Linked DNA regions of Notamacropus eugenii. The protein of the gene in region 4 interacts with the protein of the main gene of each other region in a pairwise test. Links are inferred from orthologs where the notes say so. Each region holds a gene or a part of one and is shown on either strand. Other genes may lie near its edges.

Region 1 (6,890 bases), on a different chromosome or scaffold from region 4:
AAATACATAAGCTTAGGAAGAAAACCAACTACAATGAAATATGTAAAAAAAATTTACATTCACATTGTCCAGGTTAACAACATACTTTTTAGCTAAGCTATCCACCTTTTCTCAGGCAAGAACTTCTCTGAAGACGAGGGTTGGTAAGTAAGCCAGTGGCATGGCGACAGATGTCTACCATGTCCTCATGCATTGCCCATACAGGTCACTGAGTTGCCATCTATCCAGTCTCAACTACCCAGCCAACCAGCTACAAGAACAAATCACCCCATTCTGACACTGATGTTGCTTCTCAGACCAGAAATTGCCCTAAATAAGTTCATAAATGCAACTCTGATCTGCTTAGGTTCAACTTGAGGCCTAAGGCAGGAGAGAAAGTAAAACTCTCACCCATATCTCATGCCCGCCAAGTACATACACAATCAGGTGGAGTTAATAATTCACTTTCCGTGCCTGGGAACATGGTGATCTTTCTACCAAAGACATTCATTGTCTTTCTAGTACATTGTAATGATCCCACGAATCTTGCAAAAGTGGTGGGAAAGTTGTGGTCCCCCTAAAACCTGAACTACGGACCCTTTGGATTAAGTTTTGCCTCTCTAAGGAGCACTTCTTAGAAAAGTAATATCTTTTCCACTCTTGCCTTGACAGGGGTCCTACCCAAGTTTTCATCTCCCCTTTACCTCAACTACTTTATGATCATGATCATAACAGGAACCAGGCTAAGTCACATTCCTACCAGAAAAGGGACCCTACATGACTTCCCAGGGTGTGGAGACTCCCCATGAAACTCACAAAGTTTCATACTCATTTATTCAATAAGCATTCATTAAGTGCCTGCTATGTCCTTGGCACTGTACTGAGGAATTCAGACACAAAAAGAGGCCAAAGACAGCCCCTGCCCTCAAGGAGTTCATAGTTTAGCGGAGGAAACAAAATGCTGTCAAATATATACAAAGTGAGCTCTGTACGGTATAAGTAGGAAAAGAGGGAAAACGTTAGAATTAAGAGGGGTTGGAGAAGGTTTCCAGTAGAAGGTGTGGTTTTGGTTGGCTGGTCGTTGTCCGTTCTCAAAGAGGACCAAAATGACATCACTATGTTAGAGTCACGGTACAATGCATCCAACTATGACTGATCAGACCAAGACAAGCTCAGAATGCCCTACCACAGGTCGGGCACAAATAGTCCATGTGAACATTTGGGGTGGATTCTCTAAATTTGTGAATCTTGTGTTTCTTCTGAGCTACTTCCATTCTGCTCTGCTTACAGAGCACAGCACCTTCTCTGATGTGGGCACACCATGCTGGGCAATCTGATGCCAGCGTCTCCCAAGTCACACAATCAGTTCCAAAGTTCTTAGGAGAGATGTTGAGAGTGTACTTGTATTACTTCTTTTGACCGCCATGTGAGTGCTCGCCCTATTCTCCACAGAATAGTCTTTCAGGCAAGTGTACGTTTGGCATTTGAACAACGCGGCCAATCCATTTGAGTTGTGCTCTCTGCAGTAGAGTAGGCGTGTAGGTGATATTTAAGTTGGTATTTAAAGGAAGCCAGGGAGGTCAGTAGTCAGAGGAGAGGAGGAGAACCTTCCAAGCATAGGGTACAGTCAAAGAGAATGCCAAGAGACAGCATCTTGCTCATGGAATAGCCAGAAGGCCCCAAGATCCAAGCAATGTGTCTAACGTACTCATGATTTCAAAGACCAAGGGGAGTTATCCTATCATAGAGGAATAAATTCAGACCAGGGTGAGCTGGAAATCTATCCTAAGTAACTTGCCACTGTAAGTATAGGGGGAAAGTTAGTAGATAACACTATCTGTTCACGTCTATCTTAGGGATAGTCTGGGAAAATCCCATCCAAACCTAACTCCAGGTCCACCCTGTCCTCAGTGTAGCATTTAAGGACATCCCCTAAGTTAAATTGCCAAAAAAGAAGAAGAAGAAGAAAAAGAAGAAGAAGAAGAAGAAGAAGAAGAAGAAGAAGAAGCCTTTAGTTTCTCTGGCCCAGAATGTACATAACTTACTTACATCATGATGCTACTGAGTTCACTAATTTCTAAGACTCAGGACCTACAAAGTGACATAGCACCTTCCACCTCCAGAAGGAGGAAGGACTAGACAAAGCCTAGACTCCACCCCTCAGGTCGTCATGGGGTGAATCCCACATGGGCCAGTTAGCTTTATCCTATTTCTCAGCCACAGTCTTAAAACTCTAACCTAGTTAAGTGCTAGATCAGTGCGAACTCTTCACTACTCCTGGGAAAGGAAAACTCATGCGTATACTCTACTCATGAAGAGCCAGGGGGCTCTTTTTCATATAAGAAAGATGACAGGTTTTCTAAAGCAAAATGCCTTCCACACTCAGAGAAAGAACTATGGAATTCATTCGCAGAATTAGCAGATCGTGTGTGTGTGTGTGTGTGTGTGTGTGTGTGTGTGTGTGGTGTGTGTGTGTGTATTATGTTTTAATTTGTTATATGATTTCTTCCATTTATTTTAGTTCGTCTACATAGCGCGACTATAGTGAAAACATATTCAATAGGAAAGTATATGTAGATCCTATATAGAATTGTATGCCATCTTGGGGAGGGAGGGGGGCGGTGGGGGGTAGGTGTGGGGGGGTAAAAATCTAAGTTTTATGGTAGTGATTGTAGAACATAAATAAATAAATAATAAAAAAGAAAGATGACAGTCCTTTTTCTTCTTTTTTAAAGCAGGGAAAAAAAGAACTTTAGAGGGGAAGAGAGAAGGTGGAAAGTGAATGGATGATTAAAATAACGGCAGAAAAGAGGACCTCTGTAGATGGACTTGTGGTGGTCCCATTTACCCCTATATGAAATTTTCATGGAAAAAGGATGGTTTTCCATTCTCAGAACCTCACCCAGACTCAAAAATAGCTCCCTGCTCTTCCTAAAGACCATATGAGCCCTCTGTACCTGACAGTCGCCATTTCTGCTCTGCAGAGGTGTTGAACAAGGCAGGGCTAGAATATGGGACAAGCCCAGACTGGCTGAGGAATTTAAGAGTTTGAGAACTGGCCTGCTTCCAGTCCTGGAACCATACAGCTGGATCTGTACAAATTCACTACAGCTTTGAATACCCTTTGGTTGAGGATCTGTATAAATTTAATCTTAAGGAAATCCAATGATTCCATAGGCCCATCACCCACACCTGATACACAGCAACTTCCTTCCCTTTAAACAGGGTTTCTTAACCCGGGGTCTATACATTTGATTTTTTTTAATATTTTGATAACTGTATTTCAATAGAATTGGTTTCCTTTGTTCTCCTATGTGGGTTTTTGTGTATTTAAAAACATTATTCTGAGAAGGGGTCCAGAGGCTTCACCAGACTATCAAAGGGGTCCGTGACACAGAAAAGATTAAGACTTCCTGCTTTAGAATATGGGTTTGGGCACACGTACCAAATTCCACTTTATAATCCTTACCACCACAGCATCTGGGAGTGGGTATCGATATCTTGAGGGATGCCATTGGCAGAGAAGGAAGCTAGGTCTGTGGGACAGCTAGAAAGAGGAGAGGAAAGCAGATATCAGACTGATAAAAGAGAAAGCAAAGAGAAAAGATGAACCAACAAAAAACTGAAAAAAAGGGTTGGAAAAAAGAAAGGAGAAAAGAAGGCGCCAAGGGAGGAGAGAAGTGGGACAGGGAAGAAAAATCTCAGTAAGTCACTGTATCTGATTCTATGTGATGCCGTGAGGAGGAAAGAAGGGAGAGAGCCAGCAAAGGAAGAGAAAACATTGGCGGCAGCAGGAGCGGTTTGGCCAGAGGGGCACTGGAGCTGTAACTCAACACCCTTCTTTAGAGAAATCTGTCCTCCTTTCTCCTCCTCCTCCTCCTCCTTCTTCCCCTTCCTCCCTCCCTCTCTGCCTCCCTCCCTTTTTTCCTCTCTCTTCTCTTAATCCACAGGACTGAGTCTCAGAACAGAGAAAGGGAGAGCTAACGAACCAGAGAAAAGGAGAACTCCAGAAGGAAAGACAGTGAGTGTGACGAAAGAAAGCAAGTGAAGCGGAAAGAAAGGAGGGAAGGAGAGAAGAGAAGAGGGGGGTGGAGCGTGGCCTTCGAGGAGGACTGGGCTGTCCCCCACTAAGGTCTCCTCCCCCCCACTCCCTACCCCGCCTCCTTGCCACAGGGACTGTGTGTGTGTGTGCGTGTGTGTGTGTGTGTGTGTGTGTGTGTGTGTGTGTGTGTGTGTCTTTCCTGGAGGATCCCACACGGACATACCTCCGCCCAGGCATCAGGACACCTCTCTGATATTTGTGTCCTTCCTTCGCAGGTTGCTTTTCTTTTCTTTAGCTGAGACACTTTGGAGTTTGGGATGGATTGTCCTCAGAGCACTGGCCCCCAAGAAAACCAGACACCGGAGCCCTAGCACTGAGAGGAGGGGAAATCACTTCTGAGAGTGGGTGGCAGATCATCGGGGGGGTGGCAGGAGAAAGGGAGTGGAGTGGAGGCGGGAGAGGGGACACATGCATCAGTGAATGCAAGGTGCAGGGGTGTTTGGTCGCCAGCTGGTCGTGAGGATGGTGTATGAGGCTGGAAAGAAGTTTGTGAAGTCAGACCGCTGTGATCATGTCTATTTGACCCAGTTAGTGAGTTGGTAAGTGTACCCAGGTCCCTGTAAGTTTGTGTACGTGTATGTGAAAGGGCAGGTGTGAAGCCAGCCTGCGTCTTTTAAGTTCATGTCATTTAATGTGGAACTCGGTGGGCTGTCCTGAGTGGGTCTGAACCAGAATGTTAGCAGGTCTGTGTTCCTGGGTCAGTGGCTGTCTATGTGCTCAAGCAGCTCTTTGGAATTTATGATCATACAAATCTTCCAGTACCCCCCACCCCACCTCAAACCCCATTTCCGTGAGGTCCCTGGCTGTGGTTCTAGAAGGATTTCGCAATCTCCTGAGAATCTGAAGCACCAGTCTTGGCTCTCACCCTCTGGATCACTGTCTCTCTCTCTCTCTCTCTCTCTCTCTCTCTCTCTCTCTCTCTCTCTCTCTCTCTCTCTCTCTCTCTCTCTCTCTCTCTCTCTCTCTCTCCTTCCCAGCTTTTCCATTCCCTCTATCCCTCTCCTAAGGCTGCTGTAAAGCACATCCCTGAGAAACTTTCCTACAAGTTCCTCTACCCTCAGGTGCCAAGAGCAGGCCTGGTTCATACTTAGCTTCCTACCCAGCCAAACAACTCAAGGATCCTCCCCACCCTGAGCCCTGCCCCTGGAGAGGCCTCGGAGACAGAAGCTGCGCCCAACCCTAGCCTCTCATCCTAGTGGCCCCTGAGTCGTCCCCAGATCTCTGGCATGTGGTATGTGCACCAGGAGTCAAGCCACTCAGCCTCATGAACCAGGTCCTTAGAGACCCTTTCCCTTGACCCTCCATCTCCAAGGCAACTTTGTGGGGGGAAAGCAGCTGTTGGAGCCCCTTGGATGAAGACTTGGAAGAAGCTTCAGCCTCTCCGCTTGTCCCAAAGGGCAGTCTCTCAGTTTAGGGGCTCGCCCGGTTTGCTCTCTCCTCAAACCTCAGCTCCGGCTGCTGCTCGGCCTCCCCAGACTGGGGGCCGCCTCTCCCCATGTGAAGGGGCTGGCACTGGGCCCCAGACCATGATGTTGGGAGCCTCTTGCTGAAATCTGCCCAGAACCCAAAGCCAGTCCAGAGCAAGAGGAGGATAGGACAGGCAACGGAGACCATGGCTGTGTCGGTGAGTCCCCACTCGGGGTAAGGAGAGAGGGGTTGGAAGGTTTGGGGAGAAAAGCCTCTTCTAGCTTGGTTTTGTCTTCCTGCTTTTTGCCCTTTGTGTTCCTCATCATCCCCCCATCCCCACCCCTCCCCTCCTTTTCATCTTTTCTGCGCCTCCCTGGCTGTTTTTCTTTAAGTCTCTTCCTCACTTTTGCCTCTCTCTCTTTCACACCTCCTTTTCTTTTCTTTTTGATCTCTCCCTCCTCCCCTCCCCACACTTATGTTTCCCTACTTTTCTACCCTGGACCGGCTCCTGTGATGTGTGGGGACAGGGCAAAAGATAAAGGCAAAAATCCTATGGGCTTTTTTTAGGAACAGGACAGATGGTCAGTGGCAGCTCCCAAGGAAGGGAGCACTGGGAAGCTAGAGAAAAGGAGGGGGGAGGGGGCAACCTTAAGAGAGAGAGTAAAGAACTGAGGGAGTGAAGGGGGACCTGAAGCACCCCCCACTGAAAGGGAAGAAAGTGAAAGGAGCAAATGGGCCGGAGGGGAGATAAGGAGCCCGAGAGAGAAAGGAAAACAGGGGTGAGGGAGAGGGATGATGTCAGTAGAGCCTCAGGCCACTTTCCAGGGACTGGAGGTTGGGGACAAAGGGAGGAGACAGCTGGCAGAACGGGATTTCGGGAGGGGGACTCTCAGGGAGCACATGGCTGTTTGCCACCCCCCATTAAACAAGCCTCACAGGCGGGGATGTGGGGGGAGGGAGCCATTCCCCCCAAGTCAGCTGGGGGAACCCAATGGGGGCAGGGAGAGCAAGGGAAACCCCACCCCTTCATCAACCAATCAATCAGCAATTATATATTGTTCCCAGCTCTGGGCTTCATCCCCACTGGTCAGATTCCAAAGGGTGAGAGACTCTTTTGCCCTGCCCTGTCTCTATCCAAATATGAGAGTCCCTCCTTTTCTCTCAGGAGACCCCTCTATTCAAAAATCAACTCTGCAGCTTTTCCAACACTCTTCTACCAGAACCTTCCCCACCAGCCCAAAGATATTTTTGAGTAAAAGTAAACACAGTGCCCAGGGAGAACACAAACTTGGTTTCAGACTTGGGCTCATTTCTCTGCCTTGAGAAACTAGGGAAAGCTGGAGAGTCTCAGGATCTCTGTTCTGGGCAAGGGTCCTGCCAAAAGCATCCGGGAATCCCTCCC
Region 2 (7,392 bases), on a different chromosome or scaffold from region 4:
TCCTCACTTCAAATCTGGCACTTTGTCCAAATTAATCCAGCCTATGTTGATTAGTATGTGTTAAGGTGGAAAGGTTTGGTTCCTGGGAAGTATGACTATTCAGAGAATGTTTTTCTGGAGACATGACTGCTTTTTTTTATCTAACCCCTCTAGAGTGAGAATTTCAGGTCAGTCTTAAGTAGAGGACAATGTCATAGGAGGTGATAGAGGAAGTGGCTTATTTGGGGAGTGGAGGATAGAGGGGACAGCCATAGCGAGGCATTTTATATCACACTACATAGGATTGGCTCTTATTTTGAGAGCTGACCTCTGGTTCAAGAGCCACAGGTTGTGATCTTGCCTTGAAGGTTACTAGAGAATACAGAGAATTGAGATTCTAGGGACAGAATATTTTCTGGAAAGGGAGAGCTGGAGCAAGGGACTTGAAGCAAGTATTCCTATGGCACTGTGGGTTGAGTGTTCCCTTAGGGAACCTGGACTACCCAAAGACTCCAGGAGGAAAAAATAGTAGATAACAAGTGCCAGGTGGGCAAAGTCACCACCAGCATTGCCACTACCACTCCCCTTAGACCCTGGGGGAGATAACTCAGGCCTTTAAACCCAAGAGCCCAGGCAATGTCAGTGGCTTCCAGACCACCAGCTCCATTTCCAGCCTAGCCTTACCCAAAGGAACAACCTTCTGGATGGTTTCAGTGCCTCATTTCTTCTGCTCCTCTCAGCTACCAAAGTGGTTTTCCTAGAATGTGTACTGACTGCCTGCAAGGGGCAGCTAGGTGGTGCAGGAGATAGAGCACCAGTGCAGGAGTCAGTAGGAGCTGAGTTCAAACCTCACCTCAGACACTTGACACTCACTAGCTGTGTGACCTTGGGCAAGTCACTTAACCCCAGTTGCCTTGGGCAAGTCACTTAACCCCAGTTGCCTGGGTCATCTCCAGTCATCCTGATGAATATCTGGTTGCTGGATTCATATGACTCTGGAGAAGTGAGGCTGGTGACCTGCTCAGCCCTCTCTCACTCAAAACAAAGTTAAGTGCAAGTCACATCATTATCAGGCAACGAAGGACAAACACACTGACTGATCAGCACCTCCAAGTTCAAATATAAAATTCAGTTTGCCTTTTAATGTCTCTTATAATCTGACCCCTTCCTCCCCTTCCAATCTTCTTAGACTTTACTCCTTTCCTGTATTCTATGATCTAATGACATTGCTAGTCAGTCAATGAGAATTTATAATTTATTTGCTCATTCCTCTCTGGGCTACACTTTTAACTCATCTACACAGGACTTGTCTACCATGGAAGCCTCTTTGATTTAGAAGCTCACCCTTTCCCTGGAATACTTCTCATGCTGGAAGTGCTTTCTAGGCCTTTGTTCTTTTTCTCTGATTGGCTGGTTCCTACAAGAACCTCCATTTTAAGGAGACTGTCCAGGCCAGCCACACCTTCATTCCTTTCCTGACTGCACTCCAGACTTCTCTGTACAAGACTTTATCTACTCTAGTCCTGCCCCAGCCCCTATCTTTTTTTAGTTCCCTTTTATGTGTTGTCATAGTCCAATTGGAAAGGAAGCTGCTTTCTTTCTGCTTGTACTTGGATTCTCAGGATTTAGCACAGTGCTTGACTGACTCTCCCCCATGCCAAGAATTCTCTCTCTGCTCATTTCTATCTCCTGGCTTCCTTCAATTTTCAAATAAAATCCCTCTTTCTTTTTTTTTTTTTTTTTACAATTTCAACTTGCCTTTTTTTTTATTATTATTTTTTTTTTATTTTTACAAATCTTTTATTTATTTATTTTTATTATTATTATTTTTTTTTATTTTGTAATGTTTAACAATCACTGCCATACAATTGTGATTTTATCCCCCCCACCTGCCCCCCACTCCCCCCCTCCCCTAAAATCCCTCTTTCTGCAAAAAAACTTTCGCAGTCCTCCTTAATGCCTTCCCTCTGAGACTACCCCTAATTGTATGTATGTAATGAATATATGTATATCCATATCATGTTCCTGCATAGTTTCCTGCATATGATCTTTGATTAGATTGTAAGATCCTTGAGGGCATGAGCTGTTTTTTTGCCTTTCTTTGCATGTACAGAGTTCAGCACAGCCTCTGGTACTGAGGGAGTGTTTAAAAAATGCTCATTGATTTGACTTGTTGATTTTGGGCAGTCCCTGCCTCCTTAGTAGCCACAATTTTGAAGATGGGGAGAAGAAAATGCTCACCACCAAAGTCCTTGGAACTTCCAAATAGTTCAGTCTCAGAAATGGATATGGTTCAGATTGGCTAATGACAGAAAAGGAAGGTGACAAATGACAAATATGGGAATGTGGAAAAAATGGGATGCTAATGCACTGTTTCTAGAGTTGTGAACTGGTCCAGCCATCTAGAGAATAATTTGGAATTATTACCAAAGAGCTCTAAAACTGTACATACCCTTTGACCCAGCAATACCACTACTAGGTCTATATCCCAAAGAAATCAAAGAAAAAGGAAAAGGAACTATAAGTACACAAGTATTTACAGCAGCTTTTTTTTATGGTGGCAAAAAACTGGAAATTGAGGGGATACCCTTCCATTGGGGAGTGGCTGAACAAGTTGTAGTACGTGATTGTGATGGAGTATTATTGTGATATAAGTGATGATGAGCAGTATGGTTTCAAAAAAGTCTGGAAAGGCTTATACGAACTGATATAAAGTGAAGTGAGCAGAACTAGGAGAATATTGTACTCAGCAACAGCAATATTGTAAGGACGGTCAACTGTGAAAGGTTATTACTCTTTTCAATAGCATAATCCAAAATTATTCCAAAGGGCCCTGATGAAAAATGCCATCCACCTCCAGAGACAGAGCTGATGAATTCTGAGTGCAGATTGAAGCTTTCTTTCTTTTTCTTTCTTTCTTTCTTTTTCTTCTTCTTCCTGTCCTCCCTCCCTGTTTTCTTTCTTTTTTTCTTTCATGGCTATTATGGAAATATGTTTTGTATGACTTCACATGTATAATTGATATCATATTGTTTGCCTTTTCAGTGGGTGGAGGAAGGGCCAGAACTCAAAATTTTAAAGAAGAATGTTAAAAAATAAATCATTTAAAAAGAAATATGGTTTCATCAATGGAAATTACATTAACATCTCCTTAAGGGTTATGGTCTAAGGTTTATGGGGCTTTTCCATCTAACTTGTAGGTAAGACCTCTGAGGCTATATTTTAAGGGTTACAGGACTCTTCCACCTAACATGTAGCTAGGACCTCTTAATTTACTATTTTTTCATCCATTCATTCATCATTCCCTTGCTTAAGAGCTTTCAACACTTCCTGTTGCCATTTCAAGCTCACCACTATCTGTCTGTAACCTACCTTCTTGCCTTATTTCACATTATTCTCCTCCATACACCTCTCCTTACTCCCTACAGGCCACCCCCCATTCCCTGAAATGCAATGCCTCTCATCTCCTCCTCCACCTTCAATGCCCAGGTCACTGCCCCACCTTGTCCATGAAGCCTTTCCTGTTCTGGTTGAAGGCGAGCTCTTCTTCCTCATATGCTTGGAGAACAGTTTCCACCTACCTTGCATCTACCATACTTACGCTTCCCTTCTATTAGATGGAGTAGAGACTTTGTCACTTTCCATGTTTGGATCCCCAGTACCTAGGATGGAACTGCACCAGAGATTTCACTGGTCTCAGAAACTCCCAGTGAGGGAAACCTCTCTACTAATGTAAAATGACACTTTCCGTGCATTTACAGGGGGCATTGAAAGCTAGTGGGTGACAAGAGAAACTTGAAGTCAAATCTTTCTGGTACCAACGTTGCCTCTCATAGGCATTTTATAACTATATGTTAACTTGAATTTCATATGGCATTTAATGGTGCCACGGCCTTCCACGATCCACCATTTCCTCTGATTGGGGCTTGGTGCTAATGTCCAGCCTGCAGTACCTGCGGCCCAAGGTGATTGGGCAGGAGGGAAAAGAGACTTAGGAGGAGGAGAAAAGGAGAAACGTAGTGAGGGGTCAAATCCCTGAGGAGTCTGCAGAAAGGTAACTGAAGGGAACTCAAGAGTAAAGCTGTCCCTTGGGGGACCAGTTCCCAAGAGTCACCACTACTCTTTCTCCTCTTCTCTTCCACCCCACCCCCAGCTCATCTATTTCCTGCCTAGGGCACTGACTCAGGGCACTGACCCAAGGGAGGAGTATCTGCCAGCTGGTGCTCATCATGTGCACATCTACTTTACCCCATTTACCCCCAATTTCCAAGACACAATTGGGGATCTTAGGACCTCTCTCTTTCCCACACTACATCCTCAGGCTATCCTTTAAGTCTGTGGATGGGGAGATTTTGGGGGACACCCAATAGGGCTTGTCTCGTTCTGTCCTGCCGGGAGATGTCATAGGGGAGGGGGGGACGGCGTCTGAGAGGAGGAAGGGGGCTCCTGGTTTTCGACCCCAACTCTCACTTCCCCTACTCAACGGCGTCCAACTCCAGGTGGTGCTGCCAGCCTGCGGGGAGGCAGCTGGGCTGCCCCCTTTGGGCTTCTCTCCCGCCCCACTGCCTCAGCGGCCCCAGCCACCAGCCCCGGGGCGGCCAGCCCACCGGGGCGGGGCGGGTCAGTCCCTCCGCCCCCTACGGCTCCGAGGAAGCGCCGCTACTGCCCAGCCCAGTCCGAAACCAAAGCTGGAGTCCTCGGAACAGAATCTGGAGCCTCTTTACCTTTCCCCGACTTCCTTTCCGCCCCCGGCAGGATTGCAGGAGGTCCCACAGCCCGGGATGTGAGCTGGGCTCCCCTCCAGACTCTGCCATGGCAGCCTCAGGTCAGTCTCTTGCTTCCATCCCCTCTGAGCCCCACTACAGCCGTCCTCTCCTCTGCGAACCCAAACCGCCCTCCTCTGCTCTGCTGAGCTTCATGGGACTCTGAGGCTCGAGCCCCCCGACAGCCTTCAGGGTCCCCTACACTTCCCCAGAACTGGCACGCGCTCCCTCTTGGGCAGCTTGGGCACTCTGCTAACCCTGCTGCTTTCTGCATTCCGTCACTGACCTGGCATCTACCTGCGCCGCCCCACGCTGGGATAAGAACTGTTTGTTTAGCGAGCGCTTCCCGGACTTGGCAGATCCCTTGGCCCCAAGCTCCCATTTGTTGGTCGGAGGTTTTGGGGTTTCGCCTTTACTTATACATCTCTCCACCCCTCCACCCCCAATCCTCAAGTTTTTATTCTTTCTCCGAGTCCTGGCAACTTGTGTTAACTGATGCTACGGTAAGCAGAAGGAAAGAGAAGTCAGAACAGCGCTGTGTTATTGGGCAAGAATTCTCTCTTGGTCTTAGAGGAAGTTCATGTAGTGTAAAGGTTGGATCTGAGGAGCAGCATAGTGTAGTCTAATCGACTGAGCATCAGTTTCAAATTCCGCCTCAGACACTTAATAATTATGTGACCCCCCCAGGGAAGTCACCTAACCGCTTAGTGTCTCAGTTTCCTCATCTGAAAAAACCAGGAGGGGTGGGCTGTTGGGCATGATGGCCGCTAAGGTCCTCCCCACCTTGCCAGTCTTCTTGTTCCCAACCTCTCCCTCCATTCCAACCCCTCCTTCCCCTTGTCCCCCCATTCTGCAATCCAGTGACGCAGGTATTCATACTCTTCCTCCAAGAAGACTCTTCATTTCCCTACTCTGAATTTGCACTGGCTGTCCTTTGTGCCTGAATTCAATTCTCTCCCTCTTCATCTCTGCCTCTTTGCTTTCGTGGCTTCCCTAAATGCCATCTAAAATTCCACCTTCTACAAGAAGTCTTCCCAGATCGCTCTTAATTCTAGCTTCCTTCCTCTGGAGACTACTTCCAATGTATCCCGACTATGTCTTGTTCATAGATCATTGTTTTAATATCGTGTCCCGTTAGTCTGTGAACTCTTTAAGAGAAGGGACTGCCTTTTGCCTTTCTTTGTACCCCCAGCCCTTAGCTCAGTGCTTGACACATGATTGTGCTTAATAAATGTTTGCTGATGAATTCCAGCTTTATGATCTGGGTTGGAATTTTTTGTGACCTTGGATGCTTTGGATGGCAGTTTCCTCATCTGTAAAATGGGAGAATAGTATTAGAAAATCTCAGAGTTACCTTCCAACTCTCATTCAATGATCCCATCATCCCATGTCTGGCTATTTGCTAGTCTATATCCTTGAACAAGGTTTTTAACTTTTTTTGAGACTGAGTTTCCTAATCTGTACAAGGGGCAGAAATATATTTTCAATATTATCCTCAAAGGCTGTTGTGAAGAAAGAGCCAGGTAAATTTAAATTTGCAAAGGATCAATCAATGAATGAAACAGTTGTTAGGCACCTACTATGTGTGGCCCAGTGGATAGAGCACTGGGCCTGGAGTCAAGAAGATCTGAATTCCAAATCCAACCTCAGGTACTTACTAGCTGTGTGACCCTGGAGAAGTCACTTAACCTCTGTTTGCTTTAATCCACTGGAGAAAGAAAAGACAAAGCACTTTGGTATCTTTACCAAGAAAACTCCAGGGACAGTGGCATGCTGTGGTCCATGGGGTCATGAAGAGTTGGACACAATGGAAGGACTGAACTACAGCGAATGTACTAAACATTGTACTAGGCCCTGGGGATACAAATTCAATGAATGAAGCATTTCTTACTCTAAAGGGACTTACATTTTGACAAATCAACCATTACTGTTTTTACAGTGATTACTAGAACTTTTCAAGGAACTTGAGCGGTCAATCCCAAGTCTGCCCAGGAGAGGTCATTTATATCCATGGGCATCTCTCTGGCTAACAAATATCTTGCTAAATTCCTCCATAACCTTTCTATTTTCACCCCTATCTTTTATTTTCCTTTGATCTTTGCAAAATTCTTTTAGAAATAGGAAAGATGGGAGGCAATGTGGGGAGAGAAGTGAGCAAAGATCAGAGAGAATGTCCTATGACTCTTTTTTGTTTTGGTAGTGCTGCCCTTGGGATCTTTTCTTAGCCTTGCCTAAGGCTAAGTCAGGAGACATAGCAATGGTCTTTGTTTTTCTTTGGTCCAGACCTGTATTTGGTATAGGAAACTGCTGGTGAAGAAACTATTTACCGATGAAGATCACTTAGGCATCTTTTCTGCAAGTTAGTCGTGGAGAGCTTCCCTGAGAAATGAAATATTGCAAAGGATTTCACAGTTACTTTGCGTCATGAGGCTGGATTTGAATCCAGGTCTTTAAGACTTCTAGACTAGCTCTCTATTCACTAAGCCAGAGCTGTCAAACTGCAAGTCCTAACCAGATTAAAATGGAATTGAGAAACGTAAGAATAAGGAGAGAAAGTGGAGGTGGAGGTGTTTTGTAGAATGCTTTTAATGGTGGCATTATTAAAGGATCGGGGTGATTGCTATCATCCAGTAAAGAGGGTCCGCGTTCC
Region 3 (6,963 bases), on a different chromosome or scaffold from region 4:
TTCTGGAGCCATAGTTCTTGACTCCAAATGTTGAATTTGAAACAGTTCCCTGGGCAGGTGAGATTCATTCACTTCCTGAACCCTGAAAGGGTGACATGGCCTGGAAACACCAAGGGTATCCGTGCTACTCTAATATGTGGTGGTTATGCATTGCATGGTGATCCCACGAACCCAAGGTATATGGGGCATGGGTGGGGAGGGCGAAAGAGACACTCCTGAGAAGCCCACAGAGCATTCTTTGTGGCTTAATTAACATAACTCTCTTCTAAACAGCATTCTACAAGCCTTTCACTGCTGTAAGAGAACTGACTAAAAACAAAGGCTTTTCTAGTGCCCCGAAATGAGCAGCCAGGTCCCAACACGGACCAGTTCTCAGAAGGGGCCTTGGGGATTAACCATCTCCCTTTTACAGACGGCGCTGGAGGCCAGAGAGCTCTACTCAGTGGCAAGGCTGGAGAGCAATCCCAGGCCTGTGGTCCTCAAAGTCCTCTGCGCCACTCCAAGCTCCCTCCCAACACACCCACTAAAACCTGAGCCACATCTGTGGCTGGGCACGGGTGAAGAGACCCCGGGGCGTTCTCTCCTGCAAGAAAAGGCCCCTCAAGGCTCGGCTCACCCCGCACCAGCCTCTGCCTGGAAAACCCACCGATCTTGGCTCCGGCAGGGTCAGCGAACACGTGGTAGTGGGCGCCCAGGGGGAGCTCCTTCTGCTGGAGCTTTCTGGAAAGCTGCTGCTTGTAAGCCAGTTCTTGCTTCTCGTCAGCTGCTGTTATCACAACCACATCCCAGAATTCTCCCGCTTTCATAGCTTGGCCTGTTCGGAAAAGAGAGGACATCAGTGAGCATGGGAGTTCACAAACAGGCTTCCCTTTGGTGCCAGTCAGAGGAGCTGGGTGTGACTCCCATCCCTGTGACGTCCTCCTGGCACCTGAACGAAGAGAGGTTGGACTTGACGAACATCGCGCTTCCTGCAAGCTTCAAAATATGATCTACCCGTGAAAAAAGATGAAGAAACTGAATCCGAAGAATACAAGCTATTCAGAGAAGTGTCTACTCGGCATCCCGAGTGGGCGCAATCACAAGTTTCTCCTGACTTCCCATCTTTCCAGACATCCCACCACCTCCCCAAGTAGAACAACTGGCTGACTTCTGGGGATATCTTCTCCACTGGAGAAGCTGAGCCTAAGTCATGACTGGTAAGTGGCAGTCTGGCCTGGCAGCCATAAGCTAGACCTCTCCTTGCTCGTATCTGTAGACCCCAGACCCTGCTCACTGAATTAAATCCTAGGATGAAAGAGATTAGATTTGGAAGCTCTGGAGATTAAGAGACGGACTTTGGGCTTGTCGAAGGCTTTCATATCAATCTTTCATTAAGAGGAGAAGATGGAAGCCCAGATAAAATCAATTTTCATGGATCACAGAAATTCAGAGGTAGTTAGCTAAGGTAGGTGTGTTTTTCCTTCATTGCTGAAGAAGACCATGCCATCAGAGAAATGATGACATGACTTGCACTTGACTTTGTTTTGAGTGAGGGAGGGCTGTGCAGGTCATCAGCCTCACTTCTCCTCCAGAGCCATCTGGGGCCAGTGACCAGATATTCATCAGGATGACTGGAGATGCCCCAGGATGAGGTAATTGGGGTTAAGTGACTTGCTCAAGGTCACACAGATAGTGAGTGTCAAGTGTCTGAGGTGAGATTTGAACTCAGGTCCTCCTGACTCCTGCACTGGTGCTCTGTCCACTGCACCACCTAGCTGCCTCATCTAAGGTAGGTGCCATCTAAGGAAAGACTGTCCCTCCAAAGCCACCACTGCCTCAATCTATCCCTTTTCCTGACTAAAAATGGAGTCTTTCAAACATAGAAAGGTTTTAAGGATGGGATACATAAACTCTATATAAGGGAAAACTTTAGCTCAAGAAAAAAAATACTCCTTGGGGAACATCCTGAATTTTTGGTAGACAGCTGGAGGGGCCTAGTTCTTGACTTTGCAGACAGGCTGAATAAAAAACTTACGGCTGGACTGTTATCCTCATCCAGGGCTGATCCCAGGGATGCCAGTGGGCTAGGCGCTGACCAGGCTGACTGGCTATTCCAAGCCTTAGTACTGTAACAGTTTATGCCATCCCTATTCAACAGACGCCTTATGTCCGCTGAGACAGGCACTGTGGGGGCGCTGAGGATACCCGGGTAAACGTGTACTGTCCCTCTGTCCTCATGGTTTACGCTCCACATGCTCAGACCAACAGACAGAAGGCTTCCAAGCCGGGACTCCAAGGGGCAGAGGAGACTGGGGACAGACTTTACAAAGGCACGGAGACGGGAGTGGCCAGGGCACACTCCAGTAAGTGAAGGGGGGGAAAGTGCCCCTAGTTTGGGTCTAGAGGAGTCTGGGAGGGCAGGGGCAGAGCCCCCACCCTGCCGCCACCAGGTTATTGATCTGACTCTAGGGTCATCCGTTTGTCACTGGTGTGGGCAGGGGGCCCAGGGCTGCAGAGCATGACCTCGGGCTGACCAGGGGCACCGGAGAAGATGCACGGGCCAAGGGGAGGCCAGGGCAAAGGTCAGCATGATCCAGTCCTTTGCTGGACTCTGAGTGTGGTGCCAGAGGGTGGGCACCAGGCCTGCGGCCCCCTGGGGGGTCTGCCCAGGCCTGACTGTCCGTCGGGGGCAGGGCTCAGCGTCCAGCACCTCGGGCAGCCACCAGGTCGGGGAGACCTTGGTCCAAATTTGACCTCTGACACTTGGCTGGCAGACGACCCGACCACGGCCTGCCTCAGTTTCCCCACTGGTAAAACGAGGATCTTACAGCCCTGTGTCCGGGCTTCTTGGGAAGGTCTGCTGAGACCCTATCTATACAGTGCCTAGCACACAGTAGGCGCTCCATAAATGCTAGTGCCTGTGGACTGACTGATCACCCCTCCCAGGTCATCTCTCTCCCCAGGGACCCCGAGTCTGACTGCGGGGGGCAGGCCCTAGGCCTTGATGCTGCGGTGCGGCGCATGGGCCTCCCTTTGCACGGCCAAGGCCTTGCAGCAGGTACACAGCAGGCGCCCCATGAATGCAGGCCACGGCCCTGGGGCTCAAGCCCCACTAAACTCCATTTCTACAGCCCCTCCCGACCAGGAGGAGCCTTGGCAAACTGGGAGCGCCACCTGGGCCTCTCTTGGCACCTCCAACGCAGGGCACTGCGCCTGCACACAGCAGGCGCTTAATAAGGGCCACACCAGGGGAACCAGGCCTTGGAGCTCCCTTGACCAGCGGGACATGTGACGTCACCTCCCGGTCCCGCCCCTGCGTAGAGAGGCGCCGGATACCGGAAGTCCGTAGCCCTCAGGCTCAGGCTCCGCCTCCTCGTCACCCGGAAGTCCCGCCCGGAATCCAGACCGCTTGCCGCCGGCGGCCTCCTCGCCCCCTCCCCCCCTCGCCCCTGTACCTCTGAGCCGCTCGAACTTCCGCAGCTTGCGCTGGGTGGCCTCGCGCAGCGCCACGTCAGGCCCGGCCTGCGCAGCCGCCATGAGGATCACGCCGCTGGGCCGCGGAATGAGGGGGACCGCCGGAGCAGGGCGCTTGCGCGACGTTTATTGCCGGCCCCGCCCTCTCGCGCGATGCCCCGCCCCCGGCCGCAGGATTCGCCGTCCCGCGAAGCCCCGCCCTCTCCAGAACCTCACCCGGAAGCTCGGCGGAGGGAGACCGAGGCGCATGCGCAGACGGAGAGGGGGGGGGGGGGGTCTCCATAGCAACCACGGACGCCGCCCCCCCTTAGTAACCGTTGGTCGCGGCCTGAGTTGGTGCCCACTCCCCAGCTGCTCCTTTCCACTGTGGGCCACCCTGCAGCCCCGCTGCCCCTGCCAGCCCGGTGAGTGGGCTTCGGGGTGACCCTCGAGCCATGGTCTTCCCACGGACTGACGCGTCTGTAGCGCGCCTTGCGCCACGTGACCCGCCGCGCCCTGCATGCAGTGGTGCTTCATAAAGGCACGTTCACCCCCTGAGCCGTCGGAGGCAGCCGCCCTTCATGCCCATCGCATAGAGGAGGACGCCGAGGCCTGGGGAGCCCCGGGTGCTGGGCCCGCCTCGGTGGGTAGCACGGCCTCCCGGGGGCGGAGCGCCCAGTGTCCGGGCGGGGTCCCCGCGGGCGGAGAGGCGCGGGGCCTGGACCGCTCCTCCTGGTCCTCGTGCTCGAGGCCTCGCCCGTGGCTCTCGGGCCTTGGCCTAGGCCCGGCCCAGGCTTCAGTCTCGGTTCTTGGGTCTGGAAACCCACGGGAAGCGAGCCTTAGAGACGGGCCTGGGAAGTGGGTCCGGGGGGGGGGGGGGGGGACAGGGCGTGGGGGGGCCCGGGGAGGGGGAGGAAAGGCCGGCTGCGGCCCCCGGACCAGGCCGCGGGCCCGGAGACCCAACTGACGGACTCTAATCTCCGGGAGCTCGGCCGGAGCAGACCCCCGGGGGAGCGAGTGTGTGTAAAGGAGGGGAGAGAGCCGAGGCGGAGGCGCCACGGAGGGCTGGGACGGTGCGGGGCTGGGGAGCGGGCCTGCGGGGGGCGACCGAGGCTGGGGTGGGAGGGGGAGCTGCTCGGTCCCCGAGCCCTGCCCGCGCGGCCCGACAACACGACGCTCCTGGCCCTCCTGAGGGCCCCGCGGAGCGCTTCTCACTCCCGCCTCCACCTTCTGAGGTTAGCTGAACTGGCCCGTAGCAGACACAGGTGTGTGAGCTTTATGGCCCGTGCGTTCGAGATGAGGATTGGGCCTGAGAAGCGTGGCGCCCCCGCACAAGCCTCTGACATTCCAGCAGAGCTTCGCCGAGTTAGGGAGCGGCCCAGCGACGTCTCGGAGATGAGTGTGAGCCGTGTAAGGGCAGACTTAGAGGGGAGTCCGTGTTCACGGGCCTGGCCTTCAGGACGTTACCCACGTAGAGGGTCTAATTCAGTGTCTGCGAAGGTCGTTTGGCCAAGAGCGGTCAGGGCGAGTCAGGAAGAGCCAATGTTCCAAGCCACTCAGGAGTCACTCATATTAACCTTAAAGCTTTGTCATTTCCCGTGTCCGCTTGTCCGACTGAAGAAACCCAGAGAATGACCCTCGCCTTGCAGCGACCTGTCACCGGTCCCGGCATGAGGCAACGCTGTTCTGTCCCGTTGGGCGCCTTCCGTACCCGGCTCTGGGACCGCAGCGAAGCAGCGAGCACCGGCCGGGAGGAGGCCCAGGCTCGGACGCGGAGGCCTTGGGGCCAGCGCCTGCTGCGCGGACGGTCAGCGCCCGCTGTGCACAGGGTCAGCGCCTGCTGTGCGCAGGGTCAGCGCCCGCTGTGCCGACGGTCAGCGCCCGCTGCGCGCAGGGTCAGCGCCCGCTGTGCCGACGGTCAGCGCCCGCTGCGCGGACGGTCAGCGCCCGCTGCGCGCAGGGTCAGCGCCCGCTGCGCGGACGGTCAGCGCCTGCTGCGCGCAGGGTCAGCGCCTGCTGCGCGCAGGGTCACCGCCTGCTGTGCGGACGGTCACCGCCTGCTGTGCGGACGGTCACCGCCTGCTGTGCGCATGGTCAGCGCCTGCTGTGCACAGGGTCAGCGCCTGCTCCGCGGACGGTCAGCGCCCGCTGTGCAGACGGTCAGCGCCCGCTGTGCACAGGGTCAGCGCCTCCTGCGCGGACGGTCAGCGCCTCTCGGTATCTCCGGACCAGGCAGGTGCGCAGAGCTTCTCCCTGTGCCGGTGAAATCAGAGGCCCAGCCCCAGCCTGTCAGTCAGTCGGTCAGCATTTACTGAGCCCCCCTGTACTGCAGGCCTTCCAGTGGCTTGTCAGGGATGCTTTGGTTTGTTTGCGCCCTGTGAGTGTATCTGACTTCTGAGAATTTATTTTGTTCTGCGGTCGCCTGGGCACGTTTCTTATTTCTCGGTAAGGTCGTAATTGCTGATGGGGCAGGAGATTCGTTAGATACGTAGCGGTGGTTACCTTCCCTCACCTCGGGAGCCATGCTGCCTGCTTAAGGAAGCATTTCAGAAATGTTTTTCATTTGCATGGCCAATGGTGCTAAATAGGAAGTATCTCGCGTCTGTGTAAAATACGTTTCTACATGCCGCACTCTCTTTTATCGTAAAATGTCCCTGAGATTTCCCATTTTCATGCTGTCACTATTGGCCTGTGGGGGTGGGGGTGGGGAGGAGGGGAGATGGAGATTCTTGCCTAGTCTCAGGAACTCCTGTGATATTTGGAATTCTAGATGTCATAGTCTCCAAGTCTAACTTGTAAATTGAATTAGTTGCACATCAACTTTGAAAGTATAATATTTTTCTCAATACATTTATATTTTCAGATGATAGTTTGTTAGCCTTCCTGCTGTTGAAGAGCCCAGGGGAATGCCTGCCATGTCTTGCTCCTGTTGCCATCCGAGCCGTTTCTTCAACAGATGTTTCCTCTTCTCTGACTAGGAAGCAAATTGAATTAAATATGCACAGCAAAGGCTTTGTCCTCTTCCCTAATTCTCCTTGTCTCCGTGTCATAGATTCCTCAGTCATGTGTGTGCCCCTTAAAACAGAAAACCCAGGAGCCAGACTGGTGTTCTTCGAACCAGCAGGCGCTGCGTTCCACAAAGCCATGGTTTTCACAGTGATTAAAAATGTAAGATGTAGTAAAAAGGATGGGTAGGAATGAATGGAAGGTTTACTGATAACCGGACGCAGTTCTTTGTTGCTGCACTCTTGAAGCTGGCATTGGAGCCCTCTCGCTCTCTGTAAAAGGTTACTGTCCTTCAACCCAAATCTGCCGTTGAGCACCTTGGTTTCTTCTGAACTTGATCATGTACACATCCATATGCAATTTCTCAAAGTAAAATGAGAATGCAAGTCCCCAAATTGAGCTGTTTGTGAGAAGCCTAAGACCAGGTTGACAAGAAGAGATTGTCCTCTCTCTCTCTCTCTCTCTGTCTGTCTCTCTGTCTCTCACTCTCACTCTCACTCTCTCTGACATTAACAATCTCACAAG
Region 4 (7,042 bases):
TTTTCCTTGTCTCTTGGAAAGGAGATAATTCAACCAATAAAGTCTTACTAAAGACCCAAACATCATAAACCTATAGTAATTAAATGCCATTGAACTCATATGGAACAGTATTGTGAGTTTTATTTGGCTATATGTGTTTAAATTTTTTGTAACTGTATTTTTTCTTCAATCTTCACATATCATTAAAACCAATTAATCAATCAACAAGTGTTTATTATGTGCCATGGATACAAGTACAAAGAATGAAACAATCCCTACTCCAAGTAGTTTACATTCTTTGACTTATATAAAGGGCCCCCAAGGGCCAGTTAGGAAACACATTGGATAGGGCACCAGTCCTGGAGTTAGAAGGACCTGAATTCAAATCAGACCTGTACTAGCTATGTGAGCCTGGGCATGTGACTTAACCTCAAATGCCTCCAAAAAAAAAAAAGGGTCCAAGACCAACATTTAATAGAGAACCAAGTCAGAGTCAGGAAGATAAGTTCAAGACCTACCTCTAACATACTGGTTATGTGACCCTGAGTAAGTCACAGAAACTGTGTAGATCCCCAAGCTGCTTTAGCATCTGCAGTGGAAGTGGGTGAGTTTCTGCAAAAATGATATGACAATTCTAGCTTAAAAAAAAAAACCCCTCCAATCCTGCCACCTTTTTGTCCTTTAATAGTGGGAGGAAGGTGTTTAATGATTGAAGATTTCTTTTTAGCCTTTTCCTCTAAGTTTACACAGATAAATAAAAACTTAAGCTCTGTGACCCCATCCGTTTTTAGGGGCCAGTTAGCGAAGCTAGAATGAAAGCTTAGGTGCCTCTTGACGTTATTTTAAAACAGCAAGGATTTAATGAGAATCTATCAGGAGTTCAGCATTGCTCAGACTGTGATGGGCCCTGCCCTCAAGAAATTTATAATATAGTCAGAGGACTATTAGCATAGATGTAGGAAATAAAGAAGCAAAGTGGCAGCATGCATCAAGTAAATGCTGTAATACAGATTTGAAAATAAATTACTGGATATCTGAGTAGTTGAAGAAGGGTCATGTATGGAGAAAAAAAGAATTTGAGATGGTCCTTGAAGGGCAGGAAGATTTCCAGATTGGGGAATAACATATACAAAGGCATGGGAAGTGGAAGTAAACATGGCTTGGATGGGGGTGGTGAGGCAATTGTGACGAAATTGGCAACGTTTTAATGTTAGGGAGAAAAGAAACTGGATAGGTAGGTCTTAAAATCAATCAATAAGATTTTAATAAGCAACCTGGTATTAGGCTGTGAGCTACTTAAAAGCAAGGGCTGCTTTTTTTTTTAATCCCTTTCTTTGTATCCCAGCTGGGATATAGTAGGTACTTCATGATTTTCATTGACATAATTTGCTATATATCAGGCACAAAGGATACAAATCCAAAAGTAAGCCAGTCCCTGCCCTTGAAGGAAATTTAGACATGACATAAGAGGAAATGGAAAGTTGCTATGGGTTTTTAAACAGGGATGTGATATAAACAAAAGTTGTATTTTAGGATAATAAGTCACGATACCATGACTATGTTTGATGGATTTCAAAAAGGCAAGAATATTGAGGCAAAAAGACAATGACGAGACTGGGTAAAGATGAGACAGTAGAATGGAAAGAAAAAAGCAAAATTGAAGGATATTTTAAAGAAAGAACTGATGAACTTATAATTAATATTTCAGAAGTGGAAATGGATTTCTGAGGTTAATTCTAATCCCACAATTTACTTATATATTTGATTGGACGGTGGAACTGGAAAAGGGCTTACAGATGATATTGTCCAATTTCCTCATTTTGCAGATATGGAAATTTGGATATGAAAGACAAAGAAAGAGTCTAAGATAAAACTAAAGTTTCTTTGTGGAGGGATTGGGTATGGGTATCTCTGACAATAGAGAAATTGGGAAGAACTGGTTTTAGGCAAAAGATGATTTCCAATGTATTGCATAAGAGATGATATTACATGTAATTGGAGATGTCCTTTATGAAGCTAGAACTAGTATGACAGGCAAGCCCTACTTTGGGGTAGGAGGGAGGAGGAGGGAATGAGTTTATAGGGAGAAAAGTAAAGAGACAAAGAAAAGGGGGTTGCAGGAAAAAAACCACAGTTTGGAGCTAAGAGGATTAAGTACCATTAAGGGAGAGGAGTTCATAGTCAATAAACTTTTATGAAACATCTACTATATGCCAGGTACCCTGCTAAGTGCTGGGGATACAAACAGTATAAAGACAGTCCCTACCCTCCAGGAGTTTACAATGTAATGGGAGGAAACAACACACAAAAGAAAGTTGAAAAGGGAGTGGAGGGAGACTTATGAAGGAAGGAAAAGGGGTATGGTGGAGGTCAAAGAAGGCCAAGATGAGTGATTAAGATGGGAAATGAGATATCTGAAGAGATGTCAGTCCTGTTCCACTCCTTAAATGGAGAGATTTATAGCTTCATCTTCCAATCAGAGGGGCAGAGGATATGGATGAGGTGTGGTTTACCACCAACAAGGCTGGTTGTTAAAAATAAAGGAGGTGAAGAAAAACTGCTCTGAAGTAGAAGATCCAGGGTAGTGAGGTATTACACAAACCACAATAATTTAGAGGAATAGAGGCTTTGAGAAAGTGTCACAATTCAGAGTTAGCAGGATAAGACAGAAAAGAGGACTGGACTTTGGGGAATTTAGAAAACAGTTTTCAGTAGAGTGGCAGGAGCTGGATGTAAGTTGTAGGGGATTACAGCAAGAATGAGAACACAATGAAGACCCATCTCCCTCCGTCCCCAATTTGAAGAGAAAAAAGATAAAGGCAGTGAGATCAAAGGTTTGCAAAACAAACTTGAAACTGTACCTAACAGATCAAATTTTTTTGAAACATTGTTACACCTTTGACTTGCACCACAGCTAGGCAAACATGAATCAGAAGCAGAGCTACAGATAAAAGGTAGATTTTAACACTAAAACAGAGATCACAAATGGAGATGCTGAGACGGCAAGAATAGGACCGATATTAGACAACTGTAGTTACTCAGTTAAATGACACAGACAATAGGCAAAAGACCTCTGACTCTTCCGAGCTGGGTTTTACCAAGTTACCTATAGTAGTGGAGGTTATCGTTGCTTTTACAAGGATCTAGGAGAGTGCTTTCCTTTGAACTGAGTACAGGGGCTTAGTATTTAGAATATTAGCTATATGCCTGGTGGAAGCCCTTTGGGGGAGAGAAGACACCTGGATGTCCATGTGAAAAGTGAAACTTGTGTTGCTGTAAGCTTGTTAAATAGTAAAGGGAATTCTTTACAGGCAAACCATAACTTATTATAGGGGGAGAAGACCAATCGCATCACAGATGACAATTTCATGTGGGACCTGACATTTAAATAATTTGCTATCTGCCTCACAGCAATAGACTGTACTATCAGAACCTGACTGAATTAAACAGATGATGCACAGTCAACAAAGGCCGGGTTTTTGCCTCTTCCATTTCTGAATTGTTTCCAGGAGGGATACCTGAAATTAAAACGTATTTTGTGGTCAAAGTAAATACATGCAAATATCCCCAGAATGCAACTTTAGGGAGGAAAAGGGAGACTTTTCACCGTCATCCATCGCAGGCCTTCTTTCCTGCGAGTTTCTCTGGGGCTTTGTTGGGTGGGTGGATGGGTAATCACTCAATAGCTTTAGTATCTGGATAAGAAATCAAAGAAATAACAAAGGCCCCCCACGAGGGCCCTTTGTCAAAGGCAGAAATAACTGCCTTCCTTTCATTAGCTCCCTGCCCCAACGACACGCACGTGCACTTTAAGGTCGCAAGGGAGCCCGGCTCTCCCTCCACCCCGTCTACCCACCACCGCGGATGGGCGGTATTTGCCCATCGCTAAGCGGCGTGCCACCTTCCCGAGCTCACCGAGGAGTCCTTGAACCATTTCTATCCCTCCTGCTGTAGAGCCCGCCGGTCTTTTTGTACCCGGCTCTCGTTGGGAGAGGTAGAAGGCGAGAGAGTGAGAGCAGCCTTTCGGAGCACCCCGGCCTCGGCCCCCACTGGGGCTCCGGCAGACTTCTCTCTGCCTGGAGGAGCGCATCCCCGCTTGGAAGGCTGCCGGTGCCCCCCTGGCCCAGGCACCCAGAACTCCGTAAGTGCAAAGGGGCGAGGCCGTGCCCGGGGTCGCGCCCCCCTTCCCAACCATCCCCGCCAGCCCCTCCCCGGCCGGCTGCCCCGGGGTCAGCGGCGTGCCAGCAGAGCCCTGCCCGGGCGGGCGGCTGCAAGTGCCATTAAGCCTGGAAGGGCAGCGAGGTGGGGGAGTAGAGGGTAGGAGTGGGGGGGGGGGGGGAAGAAGGCCTCCAGCCGAGCCCACCGCGTCACAGCCCGGGCCGGGGGAGGAGCAGCCGAGGAGGCGGCGGCGGCCAGGAGAGGAGGAGGAGGAGAAGGGGAGGGGAAAAGGAGGAGGAAGAGGAGCCGGAGGAGGAGGAGGAGGAGGAGGGAGTTGTGTGCATGGGGGGAGGGGTTGCCGCCGCCGCCGCCAGCTCGGGCTTGGTCCGGCCGGGAGCCGCGGACCGGAGCGGGAGGACGCCTGAGAGGCCAGCGATCCGGGGCCTGGGAGCCGCGCTGCCGGCCGCCGGGGAGGAGGAGGAGCAGTAGCCGGAGGAGTAGAAGGAGAGCGGCGGCCGCGCCGGCCCCGGGAGAGTCCGCCTCCGCCGGCGGGGGGCGGGGAGCGGCAGCGGCGGCGGCGGAGGGGAAGGAGACAAAGAGCGGAGCCTCCTGCGGCGGGGAGCCCGGCCTCCTCCGCCTCCGCCTCCGCCCGGCCTCCCCGGCTCCGGGACTTTGGGGCGCCGCAGCCGAGCTCTCTGCCTCCCCCTCAGCCGCCCCCGCTCCGGAGGTAAGAGCCGGGCCGGGATGGGGAGGGGCTCCGCGCGCGCGTGCGGGGCTGGGGACGGGGACAGCCCGCGGGCTCGGGGTGCCGGCACCGCCGGAAACTTGGGCTGATGGAGCGGAGTTGATGTGGGGCGCCCCCTTCCCGCGAGGAGAGGCGGACGGGCTGGGCGCTGGCGCGGAGCGGGGTTCTCTTGGTGCCCAGGGGGGCCCGGGGAGCCCCCGCACCCCAACCTTGGCGGAGGCATCTGCACTTTTCAACGCCCCTTCATCCCCACCCGGCGGTCGCTTTTCCTGCCTCCTTTCTTTTGCCTCCTGGGTGGGTGTCGCTGTTTGGAGGTGGAGTGCGTGGGGCGCCCGGGGAGGAGGAGAGGTGGGGGCGGGGGCACGGACCGGTGGGCTGCTTCTGCTTGGGGTAGGAGCGCGGAGGTGGGGCGGAACGCGGGGGGTGGCACGCACGGGCGTTGGGCTCCGCTTTGTCGGGCGGTAAGCAGAAGGACCGAGGTGGTGGTGGAGGTCTTGTCGGGGAGGGAAGGGAGGCCGATGGGGCTCCGGTCTGCGGGAGTCCGGGCTGGGGGTGGTGGCAGGAAGCGCCGAGCTCCGGAGCCCCCGGGGAGGATGCCGGAGCCGCCCCCCCCCCCGAGCCGGGGAGCTCCTTAGGGGGAGAGAACGAGACCCTTCGATCCGGGGGGATGGAGAGGAAGCCGCGTCCCTCCCCTCTCGTGCCCCTGTGTTGGCAGTGCCCACCGCCTTACTGCCAGCCCTCCTGGAGGGGGTGTTTGCCAGAGGCTCGGGAACGTGGTCCTGGGCCACATTATCCAGACGACTTAGTCCTACTTGTTACTTGGACTCAAGTTTCTCCATAGTTTTACGCTCTCTGCTATTACTGGAGGCAGTTGCCGTGTAAAATTCCCTTATTGTTTAGGGTCTGAACTCCCAACTTGCCCAGAAACACAACTTACTTTGTGTCGTGTGGAGGGATTTCACTTGCGAAGCACTTTAATGGGCAAACTGTAAAAATGCTGGAGGAACTGACGTCTTTCTGCTGTGGATACTGAGCACCTGACATAAAGGAGCCAGGCATGTTAACAACTTCATCCAGCTTGTGATGGACACGACATATCTCCATGTCGCTGGCTTTGTGGTTAATTCATCGCGTTTTCTAACAATCCTTGAGAATATAGCTGACTTACAGATACTGACCAGGAGGCAATGCATGGGGCATTTTGGGGGTCAGGAAGGATAGGACCTGTGGTTTGATTGAATAAACTGGTTTTTTTTTTCCACATTGAGAGGAGCGTCTCCACATGCTCATTAATTTCTTAGTCTATTTCCAAACAGACCAGTATCTTTAACTTGCTCCGGAGGATGGAGGAATGTAAACCTGGCAAGAAACAAGAAGAATTAGAGGCTGTGTGATACAAAAAGCCCCCTAATGTTACAGAAGGGATATGCTTAGTAGAATTCTAGCCTGTATTCTTGAACCAAACATTAAAGATGATTGAGTATGCTATTAATGCAGGTTAGCACCTTTTTCTTTAACTAAAATTGTTTCTTCCCTAAATTTCCGGAGATTAAGTGACAGGTCAGAGGCAGGACTTAAGCTCTGAATTTAGGATTTCTGGGGTCTGTGGCTACTATTCACTATACCATGGTGGAACTGGGCATATGCAAACTGGGCATAGTTTCTTGAGATACAGTATGTTGGCAAAGAGAAGCCCATTCATTTGTACCCATTTACTAGCTATGTGACCTTGGACAAGTCATTTTAAACTTTTAGTGCTTCTGGGCAGCTCTCTAAGATTAAGTTGAAGAAAAAGGTGCTGGCCTGCATTAATAGGAGTTTATTCAGTCAAATCACAGTTCCTGACTCCAAAACCATTGCCCCATTCATTGTTAGGCAGTTTTAGTTATAGAGAAGTAGTAGAGGAGGTTTTCTCTTGGACTTCCCTACACCAGAGTTGTCCAGCCTAGCTGAATTTGGCCAGATAAAAATGTAATTGGGAAATATTTAACAAAATAAAAATACAGTGAAACATAGTGTTACATTTTAAAGTTAGCTTAATATGTGGCCCCCAGCGATCCTTCTGTATGTATTAGTGGTCCTGGGCTTCTATTTGAATTTGACTTTAATGAAATCACAGGTGGTTCAATCCCTACCCTTCCTAAAACCCAGTTTGCACTA

What was found.
Region 1: the proteins of NCK2 (region 4) and EFS interact in a two-hybrid assay, tested with the Homo sapiens proteins (2 studies listed by BioGRID and IntAct). The two-hybrid records come from large-scale screens. The link is inferred for Notamacropus eugenii from reciprocal best matches to the Homo sapiens genes NCK2 and EFS.
Region 2: the proteins of NCK2 (region 4) and PIK3AP1 interact in binary tests that used the Homo sapiens proteins (3 or more experiments, as listed by UniProt). The two-hybrid records come from large-scale screens. The link is inferred for Notamacropus eugenii from reciprocal best matches to the Homo sapiens genes NCK2 and PIK3AP1.
Region 3: the proteins of NCK2 (region 4) and LRRIQ3 interact in binary tests that used the Homo sapiens proteins (3 or more experiments, as listed by UniProt). The two-hybrid records come from large-scale screens. The link is inferred for Notamacropus eugenii from reciprocal best matches to the Homo sapiens genes NCK2 and LRRIQ3.

The regions. Positions count from the first base shown.
Region 1 is NC_092878.1:9,806,557-9,813,446, forward strand, and holds the start of EFS (embryonal Fyn-associated substrate), read left to right. Parts: upstream 1-3,878; 5' UTR 3,879-4,000; intron 4,001-4,096; exon of another isoform or gene 4,097-4,296; 5' UTR 4,297-5,693; coding exon 5,694-5,705; intron 5,706-6,890. UniProt on the Homo sapiens protein: Docking protein which plays a central coordinating role for tyrosine-kinase-based signaling related to cell adhesion. May serve as an activator of SRC and a downstream effector. Interacts with the SH3 domain of FYN and with CRK, SRC, and YES.
Region 2 is NC_092872.1:213,496,626-213,504,017, reverse strand, and holds the start of PIK3AP1 (phosphoinositide 3-kinase adapter protein 1), read left to right. Parts: upstream 1-4,391; 5' UTR 4,392-4,791; coding exon 4,792-4,804; intron 4,805-7,392. UniProt on the Homo sapiens protein: Signaling adapter that contributes to B-cell development by linking B-cell receptor (BCR) signaling to the phosphoinositide 3-kinase (PI3K)-Akt signaling pathway.
Region 3 is NC_092873.1:535,564,757-535,571,719, reverse strand, and holds the start of LRRIQ3 (leucine-rich repeat and IQ domain-containing protein 3), read left to right. Parts: upstream 1-3,950; 5' UTR 3,951-3,952; coding exon 3,953-4,075; intron 4,076-5,575; exon of another isoform or gene 5,576-5,877; intron 5,878-6,295; exon of another isoform or gene 6,296-6,461; intron 6,462-6,484; exon of another isoform or gene 6,485-6,495; coding exon of another isoform or gene 6,496-6,600; intron 6,601-6,963. Other genes in the region: FPGT (fucose-1-phosphate guanylyltransferase), read right to left, coding at 647-814, 3,435-3,516.
Region 4 is NC_092877.1:200,903,469-200,910,510, forward strand, and holds the start of NCK2 (cytoplasmic protein NCK2), read left to right. Parts: upstream 1-4,029; 5' UTR 4,030-4,120; intron 4,121-4,727; exon of another isoform or gene 4,728-4,864; intron 4,865-7,042. UniProt on the Homo sapiens protein: Adapter protein which associates with tyrosine-phosphorylated growth factor receptors or their cellular substrates. Maintains low levels of EIF2S1 phosphorylation by promoting its dephosphorylation by PP1.